Lepisosteus oculatus: one gene and its partner. The protein of the gene in region 1 interacts with the protein of each later gene in a biochemical or structural test. Links are inferred from orthologs where the notes say so. Each region holds a gene or a part of one and is shown on either strand. Other genes may lie near its edges.

Region 1 (7,727 bases):
CACGTGTTTAAGCGCAGCTGTTTTCTTCTGTACAGATCGCCCAGTTTATACGCAAGTGGGGGAAACTTTTATTTAATGTGCACCAGGAAAAATAATGTACAATTTTTTTTTAAAGCTCAAAGGGTTGGGAGTCTGGTTTAAGCTACTAAACTAGGGTGACCATATTTTAGTTTTCAAAAAAGGGATGGGGATGGGGGGGGGGGAGAGATAATCGACATTCGAAACATGCCTCCAAAGCAATGAATCTTTATTACTTTTCCCAATCAAAAAATCAATTTAAACTCTCTAGTTTTTTTATTAAACTTCTTAGTAAGCTTTTGAAGAAGTTGCAGGGTTGCTATTTCCCTTCCATAATGGCAAAGATAGCCCTATTTTAAATATATTTTTTTCATTTTAACACAACAAAAGTCTTAACATCTGAGGAAAAAAAGAAGACATCATAACAGGAGAGGTCCTCATTGGTTACAAAAACGATTAATTTTAACAAATCATTTTGAAATATAATTAAAGAAGTTACACATTATTATTTCTCATGGCCATAAAACAGGCGCACACACACAAAAACCCTTTTCATGCTACGCTGCTGACAAGTTCAAAACATCTACCAGTAAAGCATGGAACGAATGAAAATATGTAGCCTATGTTTTTTAACACAGTCTGAGTAACGAGCGAAACAAAATCCCGGACACATTTTTGGAATTTTATAAATCCCAGTCGGACCTATATTTTAGGTCTCAAAAAGAGGACGTCTGGCCACCCTAACAAAGCCATGTTGAAGATCTGAATGCCTCCGTATGGATGAAATTATTAGGTGGTTTCTCATTTGTAACCCGTCTCTTGGTGTGTGTTAATAACACAGAGAAGAGTGAGGGTACGTTTGGGGGCGACAGTGCGATGGCAGTACATTCTGTATACCGGGAGGTTGGAGGTTCGCCATCTAAGGTGGACGGTGAGACAAGTGTGGCAGTTTCGTTTTCACCCCAGAAAGAAGCAGACAAAGGCGGTGAATGCAAACAGGTTTAATTGCCGCGCCGGTCTGGCAGGACGGAGCAGGGAGCTCAGGCTCCCAGCAGGGGCAGGGCTGCGCTCAGCAGCAGGGGAACGGCCAGCAGGGGCAGGGAGAGCCGGCCGCGGGCGGAGGCGCCCCTGGCCTCCACCTCCCGGATCCAGCGGTAGTAGAGGCTGGCGCGGGTGTACACCCCGGGCTTCTTCTCCACCGCGCAGCCCTGGCCGAAGCTGGTGATCCCGAAGAGGTAGAAGCGCTGCAGGGTGCTGTTGAAGCACTGCAGGGGGCCCCCGCTGTCCGCCTGGCGGAACAGACACCCCGCGCCGAGGGAACACAGAAACCAGCCGCAATGTTAACACTTCAGTGTGGTGTGCAGCTGCTGACACAGAGGCTTCTATTAACTGGCAACACTCTCTCATCGCTGGTGGCTTTGTGCTGTGAGGGTGTGCGCACAAACCCACCGCTTCCAAAACCGAAACCTGTGAAGTGCGAGCTCACCTCAGGAAGAAGCTGTTCATGTGAGAGGATAGAGCAGGTCACCCATCGCCAAATTGCTCATCATACGAGTCCTCTGATTTTACACACTACTGGCTTGGGGGAAAAAATCCCCTGTGGCACACGGGTTAGAATCGCTGTCTTGCAGCGCAGGGGACCTGGGTTCAATTCCTGGAGTGCTATCTGCGTGGAGTTTGCATGTTCCCCCCATGTCCGTGTGGGTTTCCTCCCCCAGCACCCGCCACGTTGGGCTAACGTACCTGGCAGGCGTCGATGCCCCCGGTCTCGTGCCCAGCGCACTGCATGTTCTCGGTCAGGCTCTGATTGTACCAGTCCGGCTGGTTGCAGGTCTCTCTGGGGATGAGGTTGACCTCGGCCTCCTGCAGAGTGTCCGCTCTCTCCCCTGCAGAGTGTGAGGAGCAGCAAAGGTCACGTCAGGGATCCCCACAGCCGGCCTTAGTACGAGCCTCCTGGGTTTTCATTCTGGCTGAGGTTTTGATGACTTAATTAGCCTCCTCAGTCGGTGTATCGCGTGCGGCAGGACTGGGAGAGAGACTGACCTCCCCATGACGTGGTCCCCCAGCCGCTGATGAAGCACGGCGTCAGGCCCGCCTCCTCGCTCGCGCCCCTCAGCAGGCACACCGGCTGCACGTAGTCGGTGAAGTTGACAGGGGAGCACAGCTTGAGCAGGGCCACGTCGTTGTCGCCGTTTTTGGTGTTGAACAGGCTGTGGCGGAAGATGTGGGTCACAGTGCGGTTCTGTGTGTTTTCGTCGCTGGTTTTCCACACCTGCAGCCCAGCTATGACCCTCAGCTTCGATGGATCGCTGTGGGAGAGAGAGGGAGCCGAGAGCTTGCAAGAGTTATTCCACCTGGCCAGTCATCTAAGTGTCTGTTTAAACCTGGTGAGGTCGGGCCGCAGTGATACAAGCTTTAGTAGGTTTGTCTTGAAAACGCGGTCCGAGTCGAATTGTGCTAGGATTCACACGACGCTTCAATCCTGTGAATGATTTGATCTTACACACTACTGGTTCGGGGAAAGGGTGTTACTGTGACGGTACTGTGACACCCTTCACATTGGCTAGAATCGCTGCCTCCCAATGCAGGGGACCTGGTTCAATTCCTGGGGTGCTATCTGTAAAGAGTTTGCTTGTTCTCCCCATGCCCATGTGTGTTTCCTCCCAAAGACCCTGAACTTGGCTAAGTCTGGGTGTCTGTGTGTCCCGTGATGGACTGGAGTACTGTGACGTCTTTTTTTAGTCTTTTTCTCTATTCGAGATGTACAGCGCCCTTGGGTTTTTGAAAGACACTTTATAAATAAAAGTTATTATTATTATTATTATTATTATTATTATTATTATTATTATTATTATTATGCAATTAACCCATTGTTGGCCAGGATAGGCCCTGGTTCCCCCATGATCCTGACACTGGACGCATGGTCTTGGTAAAAAGTGTGTTCTTTGAATGGAGCACTCAAGAATTCCTTTGGGATGCATATCAGGCCCTTGCTTCCCTCCAGGTCCTGAGCTGCCCCTCTCTGCTCTCTGTCGGCCACAAGCCCAGGAGGAGTGGAAATTGTGGCTGATCCTACACCCCAGAACCTTTAGAGCCGTTCCAGGTGGGTCCCAGACCTCTAGCACTAATCCCTACGGGCTGTACTCACGTCTTGGGGCCGAAGCAGTGGGCTGACGTGACGACCCACTGCCTGTCAATGATCGATCCCCCGCAGAAGTGAGAGAAGCCGCTGGGCTCGGCGAGCTGGACGCTGACCTGCCACGGCCACGCCCCCGGCGCCGCGTCCTTCCCCCCCACCACGCGGGAGCTCTGCGGGGCCTCCACCAGGGGCCTCAGGCCACACACTTAGAGAGAGCACAAACGGCTGTGAGGTATGTACAGGTATGTGCACAAAGCAGGAATCCCTAATACGTACTGTATATTACTTTACCTATCTCAGGGATTGTATGATATATTAGTATAGCATTTCAATACATATTCATCCATATATTCAATTCCTGGGGTGCTGTCTGTGTGGAGTTTGCATGTTCTATCCATGTTCATGTGGGTTTCCTCTGGGTGCTCCAGTTTCCTCCCACAGTCCAAAGACATGCTGGCAAGTTAACTGGATTCTGGGAAACATTGTCCCTGGTGTTTGTCCTGTGATGGAGTGGCGTGCTGTCCAGGGTTTTGTGTTCAAATTGATTAGGATACAAACATCGGATGTAAACGGTTTTCAAATCTTTTCCTGTATAGTTTGAGTTTGAGTTCATCACTGAAAGAGTGATTTTTTGTTCAGCAGAGCTGTATTAGATAAAAACAAGATAACCCTAACAGAACTTTGGAAGAATAGCACTACGTACATTCAGTAACACTTTACTATGATTCATTCATAAGGAAAGGGGGAGATCTGATGAATATCTGATGAATATACACACTTCACGGGAAACTGTTGAATGACGTCATAGGTAATTACATTAGACAGGGTTTCAAACTCATTTCCTGGAAGCCCTAGTATCTTCTGGGTTGTGTTCCAGCCCAAGCTGTCAATGAAACAATTAACCAAATGAATGTGTTATATACGGAATTTTTTCACGAAGTTTTTTCCGTTGATAGCTCAATACACTTTATCACTGGAAACCCCGGAGATGCCTTTGATTGGCTCTTTGGAGAGTAGATCGCTTTGATTGGCTGAGCAGCAAAAGGCGGGCTTTCACGCCGTGGCCTCGAGCTCTAACACCGGTGTCTTTTCTTAACTCGGGATTCGAAAAACGCGCCGGTTTGATTTACCTCGACGGTGTTCAAAAACAAATACATTTATGAAACGTTTTTAGCACGAAGTTGATCCTTAAGCTCTAAGAGAAAAATCTCTATTTTTTTTTCAAAAAAGAATTAGTGGTAAAATCGGCAATTCATGTGCTTTGAGGTGGGTCAAGTCGCCTCGGAAGGTGGTAGATAACGGTCACCGGGTCCTGAAAAGGGGGTTCGGAAGAAGATCAACTGTCGCGGGGGGGGGAATCTTACTGATATTTTCCTGTGCCCGAGTCCCTGTCGCCAGCAGGCAAACACCAGTGAAGAGAAAGATGAAGAGCCGAGCAGAAGCCATGGTTTTCTGAGCCGACTATCAGGTGAGAGATGCGGTCTCCTCCGATACTGACCCGGGCTCGAAGAACTCAGACTGTTTAACCCCGGGGGTTATGACGCGAGGAGGCGTGTACCCGCGCGACTGGAGGAAAGTTTTGATTTAAAAGCTCTTTTTGGTAAGTAGGGGTCAGCTGAGCTGGGTCAGCTGTCTGTCTGACAGCTCAGTACAGCGCCAAGAGCGGGGCTTCCTCCCAGCTGCGCTTCGCCGTCTCCTTCCCTGTGGGTTTGTGCGCCTGCCGGGTTAGTAATAAAGCACACAGACATGGCAAGGAGCAGCTAGCCTGTAATCCTGACCGGACGTTTTAAGCAGGAGAGAAAGAAAATCGACGTTCCACGAAAAAAGATCAATATAACGTAGGAAAAAACGAATGTGACGTAACCACTCGATGTAAGTCGTACCGCCATCTTGCCTGGAGTGGGGTCAATATAGTAATTATACACTAATAATATAGTGATTTTATTTTTGTGTGCATAAATGAAGTCCCGTCTTTATTACAAAAAAATATTTTTTTGGAAAGATGACACTTCAGGTCAGGTATGATCACAGAAAAAAATACATTCAATTAAAGTTTGCACAAGCAAGTTAATCAGTTTAAAGGCATCATTTATAGCCCTGGTGTTTAAGAGCTGAGCTGGAATTAAAACTGGCAGATTCTTGGGGGTCCCCCAGAACCAGAAACCGTGTGTTAGAACAATGACACTAGTGTTGAGTGCCTTTGGCACCCATTCTTTCAAAGTTTGCAAGTCGCCTAAGCTACGTGTTTAAAAACCAGCCAAATGTGGCATTGCAAGGTGTTTATAGGACCTTATTCTAAAGCCTCTTTGCTCTAGATTTCTGAAATAATTCTCAGAATAATCCCCAGATCAACAGCCTCCTACTAACCCTGTGATATTGCTCACCAATCCCTTCACAACTAGTTCTAATTTAATCATCATCATCATCATTTATCTATTTATCTGCAACAGGTGCAACACAGGGTAAACCCTGGAAAGGACGCCATTCCATTACAGGGCACATAGACACAAGCACACACACTCACACCAGGGTCAGTTTTCGCAGAAGCCAAGTAACCTGCATGTCTTTGGACTGTGAGAGGAAACTGGAGCACCCAGAGGAAATCCACATGAACAAGGGGAGAAGATACAAACTCCACACAGACCACTGAGTGTTGCATTTCTGTATGATATCAAAATAAATTATATTATGAAGCAACAGTGAAGCGGCAGCAGTGAGGAGGGGTGGTTAGGCAGCAGTGTGGAGAGATGGTGAGGCAGCAGTGAGGAGGGGTGGTGAGGCAGCAGTGTGGAGGGGTGGTGAGGCAGTGTGGAGGGATGGTGAGGCAGCAGTGTGGAGGGGTGATGAGGCAGCAGTGTGGGGGGGTGGTGAGGCAGCAGTGTGGAGAGATGGTGAGGCAGCAGTGTGGAGGGATGGTGAGGCGGCAGTGTGGAGAGATGGTGAGGCAGCAGTGTGGAGAGATGGTGAGGCGGCAGTGTGGAGGGGTGGTGAGGCAGCAATGAGGAGGGGTGGTGAGGCGGCAGTGTGGAGGGGTGGTGAGGCAGTGTGGAGGGATGGTGAGACAGCAGTGTGGAGGGGTGGTGAGGCAGTGTGGAGGGGTGGTGAGACAGCAGTGTGGAGGGGTGGTGAGGCGGCAGTGTGGAGGGGTGGTGAGGCGGCAGTGTGGAGGGGTGGTGAGGCAGCAATGAGGAGGGGTGGTGAGGCGGCAGTGTGGAGGGGTGGTGAGGCAGTGTGGAGGGATGGTGAGACAGCAGTGTGGAGGGGTGGTGAGGCAGTGTGGAGGGGTGGTGAGACAGCAGTGTGGAGGGGTGGTGAGGCGGCAGTGTGGAGGGGTGGTGAGGCGGCAGTGTGGAGGGGTGGTGAGGCAGCAATGAGGAGGGGTGGTGAGGCGGCAGTGTGGAGGGGTGGTGAGGCAACAGTGTGGAGGGGTGGTGAGGCAGTGAGGAGGGTGGTGAGGCAACAGTGTGGAGGGGTCGTGAGGCAGTGTGGAAAAATTTATATCAAAATCAACTTTAAAAAAAATCAATTTAAAACTAAAGTCATGCAGTTTTTCCCCCTTTCCCTATGTCAGTGATGTCTGAAGATGGACTTTGCTGTCTATGGGTCCTATAATGCTGTCTGTTGCTCAAAGTAGCAGGATTTGCTGTGGCAGGTTAAGACCAATGCCTTGAACTGAGACAAAGCCTTTCAGTACTGTGGCTTCTTGGGCCCTGGGAGGTTCGGTTCTGATGTTGTCTGGAATTTGAACTTAGGACTCACACCTCCTTACCTCCTTACAGAGCCACCCTCCCCCAGTATTAATTTTTCTTGCTTTCTCTTTTCATTCATTCATAATTCATTTGCTAAGAGGTTTGCAAAGTAGCCTATGCGGGCTGAATGGGAGAGGATGTGCCTCCTCTGCAGAAAGGACAGCGTTTCGCTGGGAATTTAAATGCTGCTAAGCAGCAGTGACCCTTACCCTTTCCTTACCCAAGGTCTGCAGGCTTTTAGAGAAGCACTGATCTAAATATTGGACTCCTTTGTCTTAGATGAGTTAATTCAGTACAAAATCTTAACTACTATTTGTGCAGTTCAGTACATTTTATTATTCACAAGTGAATTAATAACTATATTTCAGCAAATGTTTAATTTTGAAACAATAGTTAAATAAACAGTATTTATTACATATAACAAAGGAATGGAGAAACGTTATTTGCAGATAATAATCAGGTAATAATTCTGCATGCCCACAGTTGTATTCAAGAGTTACAGTTTGCAGATGGCCCAGGCTTCTCAAAGCAGACGGGATACACACTGGTCCACTGCAGTGCCAGTTAAGCTAAACGGCATACGTTCAGATGGTGGTAGGAAACCGGAGCACCCAGACAGAACCCCCATGGCCATAGGGAAAACATGCACATGTAATGTGTGACAGATGCTGTGTACCAAACACAAGAGCACAGCACTGAGGCAGCAGTGCTAACTGCCACATCACACTGCTGCACACAGCTGTACTGTTATTCATTTAAATTGGGCTCAACTCATTGGATTCCTTCTCTAATTCATCTTTCACTTTCAAAGCCTCTATGTT
Region 2 (7,781 bases), on another chromosome or scaffold:
TATTGAATTGAAAGGCAAGTGTTAGCCCTTTGTTGACTATCTGAAACCGCCATCTGCTGGGCTAACCAGCCAAAGAAATAAAAAAAAATGCTTACTGGTACTTTCCAAACTCTTCCAGAAGTTACATGAACAAAATGTGTTTTGCTAAAATGTATTTAATATAAATGACGTTAAGGTCGCATCACCTTCACACGATGTAGTGTTCAAATTCATTCCTGCTACAAATAATTTTCACATGTACAACAAAAAGGCCGGTGCACCACTACACTCGCGTGTTTATATTGTCTTTAAATAAACACAACAGGTAACCTCAATAGGCACTGTAGGCTTTATAGGTTCATGATTACAAAAAAAGTTTTATCAGAAAAAACAAATTAACATTTTCTCCGTACCAGACGTTTGACACAGCCGACTACAATAAAATTACGTGTTTTTTACAACTTTGTTGGTATCGAACTTGATCTGATGTCAAAAAGGAAACGTTTCATTAAATTGCACCCATTTTTGCAACAGTTGATTCTATTGATACCGATAATAAAGTACAGCGCCTAACCATTGAATATCCTTTGTTTTCAAAACAAATCTTTGGGCAGTAACTACAACTGTATTGTGTCACTTAATAGTGATATACAGTATATATATTTTTAAATGTGTTATAAACAGTATTGCATATGGATCTCCGTAAACAGGATGTTCACCATATGAAGGTACCCGGATCCATAGCGCAAATACCTAAAACCGCAGTGGATAATTTAAAAAAAGAGAATACAACTGCATTTGTGTGAACTTCGCCTAATAATATGTAACAGTGTACAGAGCGTTACCGTGCCACCGCTACCTCAGCTTTCAATGTCTGTTAAAAATATATGCAATTGACAACAATGTCCCCCGAGTGCTACTTCGATTCTGGAAGTTGGTGTTTTGCTGCAGCACATTTCTTTGGAGGGGAGGTCCTACTGAAATCCTTCGATAACCGACGCCGCTTTCCTTCAACAATCTCTCTTTCAATTCAGGAATGCGACCTTTTTGTACTTTCTCTTTTATTTCAACTGCAAAATCTAAGTTATTGAGTGGGCGGCAAATGCAACGGTTTCCCTCGTTAATCGTGGGGTGTCAGCAAGGCAAAATAGCTATGATCTACTACACTGCAGTGCCAGCGTCAAAGAAGCAGAGCTTTTTTACCCCAATGACTGTCAACCACATCAACTTTAAGACACTCTGCCCGTGTCTTGCACCAGCTATAATAACCAATGCTTCTTTATAAACAGATACCACGTCATTCGCGATAACCTGTTTCTAGAGAAACATGATACAGCCCCATACAAAATTTTATTTTTAAAGCAAAATCTGAATGAAAATTAATCTATTTTACGCATCCCATCTCTCCACATCTTGGAACTGCATACAGTATACTGTACAGTACAGTTGCTCTAAAAACGAATCGCTCGCTTCAGCAGCGGGGATGAAGCAACTAACATCATTTCTAGTTATTTAAATGAACTGCAGATCATATGGACTATGGAATCAGGTTGTCTGTATATGAGGAAAAGCCTCTATCGTTTCTAACACAAAGACAGTCATGCTCTGTACTGTATCAACAGAATAACCAAAAGAAAATGCAGAAAAAGAGGACAATAGTGGATGATGAATTCAAAGCTAGGCGCCTCGTCGTATTATCTCCGTCCTCCACGCAAATGTTGTGCATTTAAAAAGCTATCTTGCGGGCTTAATTTTCCAGTCAGCTTGACAAGAGACACCGAATATTAAAAACCGAAAAGTGATGCAGAAGAAAATGCTGCTGCAGCACAGGAAGAATAAAACCTGTCAAACCAGACCCGCATTACAAACACACTGCACAGCGCACACCAGTATCCTACAAATGTCTACATTAAAGTGATTTACCAAGATACGACAGAGCACCTATCAAAAAAAGTTCGAAGCGCTACGATCATCCTGCTTTAGTGATGCAGGGCTTTTCTGTTGGTGCTTAACGCTCAGCCTTGCTTGGCTCGCCAGCACCAGCAGGACTACAGTATAACTTATTCCCCCTTTTCGCTGCATTTACCTGCTGTACAAATATGATTGCAGATATAACACCATCACTATAAACAATGTATAACACAGTGCGGGCACTAGAAAACAAACAGCAACACCACGACTTACCACTTTGGCTTTTGTTTTTCTTAAGACTCTTGCCACAAAGACACTGCAGCATATGCGTTCCTTTGCTGAAAATGTTCCAAAGAAACCACATTGATTTGGGCGAAAAGCAATCCAGCAGCTTAGACACCCTGATAAAGAAGAGATCCTTGCGGTTGCATAATAATACAATGGGATCAGTTCTCCAGGACAGGGCTACCAATTTTACCATAGAAAAAAGATGTTTATATTCCAGTCTTCCGCTGCTTTTGTTCACGTGGCAATATATATATATATTCTTACACTTCTTAAACGAAGGTTATTTTTTTCCGACTATGTGTGAATAATGGTCCCCAAAATGCACACACCAGGAAGTCAGTAATAAAAAATACTCTGTATATTTCATATGTCGCACAAAATGTAAAGAGCAGCCAGTAAACAAACAGAACTAATCGGCAAACAGTAAAAAACGAAGGATTTCCAAAGAGAAAACCATTGCCTATTAGTTCATCACTCTGAGGAAGGGTGGATGTGCTTCAAAAGGCAAAGGCAGGATGTATCCTATAGAAAGACCGCAACGATAGCTCCAACAAAACAACACATAACCAAATCAAGTCAGTTCACTTTATGTTCTCCTTTAAACCTGCTGATTGCCGAGATCAATTCCCGTTAATCTGTCGCTGCATTCTTTAAAAAGGCATTTCTCGATCCGAACCCGGATTTTTTTTCCCCGTGAAAAAATAAACTGCAATATTCTGAGGGTAAGATGTTACCAATTCGCAGCGGGCATGTCTTTCTTTCCCCTAAAAGTATCGTGGTTCCGGAAAATATTTTCAAGTATTTCTGTTCAGCTTGGATCTGTGTTAGAAAATAGATGGGGAGGAGGAGGGGTTGAATTGAAAGATTGGCTTTCCATTACGTAAACACGTGGTTTGAACACCGTCACAAATGAGACGTTTTCAGGATTTCAAGGGAGAAACACAAAAGATTGTTTCACAAATCTGATCAATGAGTGAGAGTGTTCAGCGTGGGGATTTTTTTTTACGTTATAAAAATTAATCACAACCATCATTTTAAAAAGGACGCGATTCAGCTATATTTATGAAGATGGACAACATCCTCCCATAACATCAAAATAATAAAATGTATAATCTTTTCTCGTGGTGACGTACTGTACAGTATACAACTGAGGCATTCAAAGCCAAATCTGCATAAAAACCGGTAAAATTAAGCTGTTATGATAGGGTCTTATGAGCGTAATGTAATTTTGTTATGCTGTAGGCTCGTATTTACAGATCAACAAGTGTATATCAGTTCCGCGTTTAAAGAAGGTAATAAACTAATCAGTGTGATTATAAATGAAAACACATCTGTTTAGGTTAGGGTTGAAAGTTGTATTGAAACTGTTAAATCAGACGGTCACTCTTACACTGTCTTAAAAAAATAACCACATCTTAAAAAAAAAAATACCAGTCGGGGAACCTGGCATGATTCACTAACGTAAACAGGTGTGCGTAGATTAGGAAAGAATTTCCCCTGCAGTTTATATCACAGGACATATTTTGTGAAGATGTTGCCAAAATAGTGCACTTCAGCCTTAAGTTAAAGTTATTATAGGATGGGGATCCGAAACTAGACTGGGCATTTAATCAGCAGACAATGGTTTTGATTTTGATCATTATTTATTTATTCTTAATAATTTTCAATATATCTTAAAATAAATGCGGCGGAAACGTACTGGGAAAAAACAACAATTGACGTCTTTCTGCGTTTTTAGGTACTGTGTTATATCTAGGGTATACACACTAGATTTTGGAGGAAATCTTTAAGTGCTTCTAAATTTTGCACAGAAACAGTACTAACATAGATGTCAAGAGTCTTAGACGTATGCGGCAAAAAACGTCCTTCAATCATAGAAAATTCAGATTTGGTGGTTTGGTGAAAAACAATTATTTTTAAAATAGTGAAAAAGCAAATCATGTACTCACATACTGTATGTGCGTATTTTTTACTGTTTGTGAATTTCAGAAAAATATACAAGGACTTATAACAAAACATTTCCCTTTATTGTGATTTTAATTTGCCAGTTATGTTACTCTTAATATGTGGCTTAAATTAATTTATTTAATCATGCTCTTATTTAATAAGATCCAGAAAATACAGTAGTGAAGTGAAATGACTTGTTTGAGAAGGTTTATTAAATCCATAAATTTCTAGTCAGATGTATCTATAACTAATTTTATGTATGCAGCTAAAGAGAAATGAAATGCATATGCTTATTTTTCCCTGTATCTTGCTAAAAATAAACTAAACTCAAAGAAAAAATCCAAAGCCGAAAGATAAAAATGGCCTAAACTGTGTGTTGGAAGTTACAGAAATTAAACACATGGCATTTCATGCCTAAAAATCAAACATTTTGATCAGTGTTATACAAGGTCCATAACAAATGAATGCTAATGACCAAGTCTTCTAAAAAGCAGAAGAGACCTTAAACAATTTGTCCTGAGACAGCCTGGGAGTTCCATGTTTTTATGACCCATTTAGTTCACTTTTGTGGTATCAGAATCACAACATCTGCAGTTGTTGTTTTTTTTAAACACACACAGATGTGCTGTAGTGGTGACCCAATATGGCTGGAAGGTGATTAATCCAGACATGTCAATAGCAAGGGAAGAGAAGTGCACTTTTCCGTTAGTTGACGAAATCACCTGTCCAGAGTTGAGGCATCAAAACCCATCCAAGAAGCACTTGGATGAAAAAAAAAGTAAATGCTGTGTTGTAGATAATATATTGATGTTGACACAGAAAACATCAGAAAATGTGTTTTCATGTAAAAAAATCTGGGATGTCACCTTTTTACCCTTTTTTGATACACCCACGACAAATTGATGGCTTCTGAAGGGCTGTATGGACAGGTAACGCTAGTGGAAAGAAACAAATTCTAGAGAAAAATGGGTCAAATTCAAGATTTCCAGACAAAAATGCAGTAGATGGGGCTGAAGATGGAGCAGGGGAAACAGAAGTGTGATTCTATGGTGTGAGTCTACAAAAGTCAAAATAAATTCACCCGCTCTTGCTCTCTGATTTAAGGTAATGAGTGCATCTGTGTTTTGCACATCAACCTCCCTTAAGACTGTTGCTTTAGTCACTGTCGCTCATGGCTACTCTGTTGATGTTGATGATGTTCTAGGCCCCATTATCATTTTCCATCACGAGTCAAGAAGGACCTTATTTAATTGCTGCTGTGTAATTACTCCTTCGCCCAGGGGGTTAGAATGAAGTACAGAATCCTTCAATTCCTGGAATATAGGCCATATCCCTCCTTTCAAATTATCTGTGAACATATGGGACAAAAACAACAATGGAACTGACCTTTTTTTCCCTGTATGAAGGGGTGGGGCAGGGTAATGAAATCAAAGAAATCTTGTTAAATCTTGAAATAGAATCATTGACAGTATAACCTCCTTCGCTTTGACATTTTCATCATACCTGCCTGCCAACATCCAAACTCAATTTCCAGTTGTATTTAAAGATATGGCAAATGATGTTTGACAGGACCTAGCCTGTTACGTTACTGGTGCTTATTTTCTGCATCTGCTTGATAACAGAAGATAACCAGCATACAGATATCCGAACAGTAACCTTTACTACAAAGGTATAGTGATAAGTGAGCTCTGCCTGCAATATGGCATAATTATTTTATTATAGAAATATTAATAGATTTGCGCGAGGGGTGTCAGCAAACCAGTCAGCGGGCTATGCATATCAGTCAAGACTAAACTGAGTGAGAAAAGTGAGAAATACAGTACATTGTTTTATGTTACTAAGGCTCCTTCAGTCATTAGAACTTCCAAGAAAAGCTATTTACCAAAACATTGTGGATGTCATCTTAAGAAGTGGCTGCAATTACAAAGACCTGCCTCTAGAGGCCACTAGTAGGAAACTCTTTACACTCCTTGTAAATGGCTACACAGTGGGTGTTAATTAGGTAATTGATAAGATTGGAGCGGAAAAGTTGTTGCTGCAAATTCTAATGTTTGTAATTATGTTTTTATTTTAACTTTAAATTGTATGAATGGTGTTCTTAGTGGCTGGTTTTTTTTTTTTAGATTTATTTTTTGTGTGATCCTGAAAAGGCAATAAAGCCTTATGGATCTCACTAGCCATTATATAGGCTTTGTGCATGCAGACCAATATTACTGCTCTGGTTAACGGTATGATCTATCACAATAGGCTTGGATTTATTAAATCACAACTTTGAACCAATCTAAAATCACAGATCTACACCCTGAAGACAGGCTTCCATATGTTAAAAGCACTAAGCCTCCAGCAAAGTTTCCATCAAATACTAGATCTGTATGTTGGGATTGGTGTTTCATTCAAGTTTTGAGTTAACCTGAGCTTTATCCAAATTTCTTGCTGTGTTACATTATTTGACCTTAGGCCTCCCCCTTTAGGTCAAATCTGCACACAGAATATCAGTGCTTTTGAAGGCTTTTGAAGGTGACAATCAGATGCTAAAAAAAATGAAATTTGGGGAGGCAGAGCAAACAGCACACTGGTACGGAATTATTCTTACAAAAATTATTTTTTACACAAAAAAAGTTTAAATTTCACTCTTTCTATTTATCGGGGACAGTTATTAGTTACAAATGTACAACGAACTACTGACCTAATATCATCTGTGCAACATTTAAAAAGTGAAATCTTGATCTGGCATGTCTGTTATGTTTTTGTAAAATAAATTGAGTGGTAGAGAAACTCACAATCTATCATCTTGCTGTCCTCCTTGCTGCATCAATAAGGTATAAATAAAAATCTATTTAATTACGGTCTTTCAAATATGTTTGACTTGGAGGTGGCACATTTTTGCTCATGTTAGCTGAAAAAGAAGAGAGCAGTCTGTCCATTGGTAATCTCTTAATTGTTTGTCTATGTGCACTTTTATCAAATAGTCTACGTTGAAATTTTCCAACTGTTTTTACAGATACTTGTTGAATTTCCCCTGTTTAGAAAGCTTTTTTTTTTGTTTTCAGTTTGTATATTGTTGGATGTGACATGAAAGATCAATTCATATTTCTAATATATAAAAGAAGACAAATCCAACCTTTCCTCATTCAGGTGAGATCTGCTGAAGAGAAAAATACTGTTTAATGGTGTAAGTAATAATAATGTATATATGTAATTATTTTTAATCCTCAAGTATTGTTTATCATACTTTTTAGTTCAAATGTTTACTTGTTGCTTGTTCTTGCTCTTTCCAGGATGCATTGCCTGCCGTAGGTTTCTGTTTAGGGAATATGGCAGCATATTGATGTGTGCCCTGTTTGTTTTGAAGGTTTGACATTTATCATTCGTTCAGTGGAACGGAACATTTTTAAGGGCATTAAATAGATCATTGTGTCACCTTTAAGAGATACCAATAAAAGATAAATGTAAGTCATGACAGAGCCCAGTAAGAATTCCTTGCCCGCTATTCAGATCATTAATAAATGATATTAACAAACGATATTTATTATTCAATCAGGACTAGATCACACAACTCTTTTCTTCCAAGAAGTTTGATGTACTATTGCTATCAGCCTCTGAAATAAAAAATGCACCCCTGCAGTTATTAGGAGGTAAGTTATATTAAGAAAAAT

The links. The genes of interacting proteins can lie anywhere in the genome.
Region 2: the proteins of sodium channel protein type 8 subunit alpha (region 1) and fgf14 form a complex in vitro, tested with the Homo sapiens proteins (2 studies listed by BioGRID). The link is inferred for Lepisosteus oculatus from reciprocal best matches to the Homo sapiens genes SCN8A and FGF14.

The regions. Positions count from the first base shown.
Region 1 is NC_090696.1:20,135,046-20,142,772, reverse strand, and holds the start of sodium channel protein type 8 subunit alpha, read left to right. Parts: upstream 1-4,726; 5' UTR 4,727-5,029; intron 5,030-7,366; exon of another isoform or gene 7,367-7,727. Other genes in the region: transmembrane protease serine 12-like, read right to left, coding at 1,059-1,307, 1,762-1,904, 2,062-2,327, 3,167-3,362, 4,522-4,603. UniProt on the Homo sapiens protein: Pore-forming subunit of a voltage-gated sodium channel complex assuming opened or closed conformations in response to the voltage difference across membranes and through which sodium ions selectively pass along their electrochemical gradient.
Region 2 is NC_090710.1:5,033,143-5,040,923, reverse strand, and holds the start of fgf14 (fibroblast growth factor 14), read right to left. Parts: upstream 3,019-7,781; 5' UTR 2,372-3,018; coding exon 2,164-2,371; intron 1-2,163. UniProt on the Homo sapiens protein: Probably involved in nervous system development and function.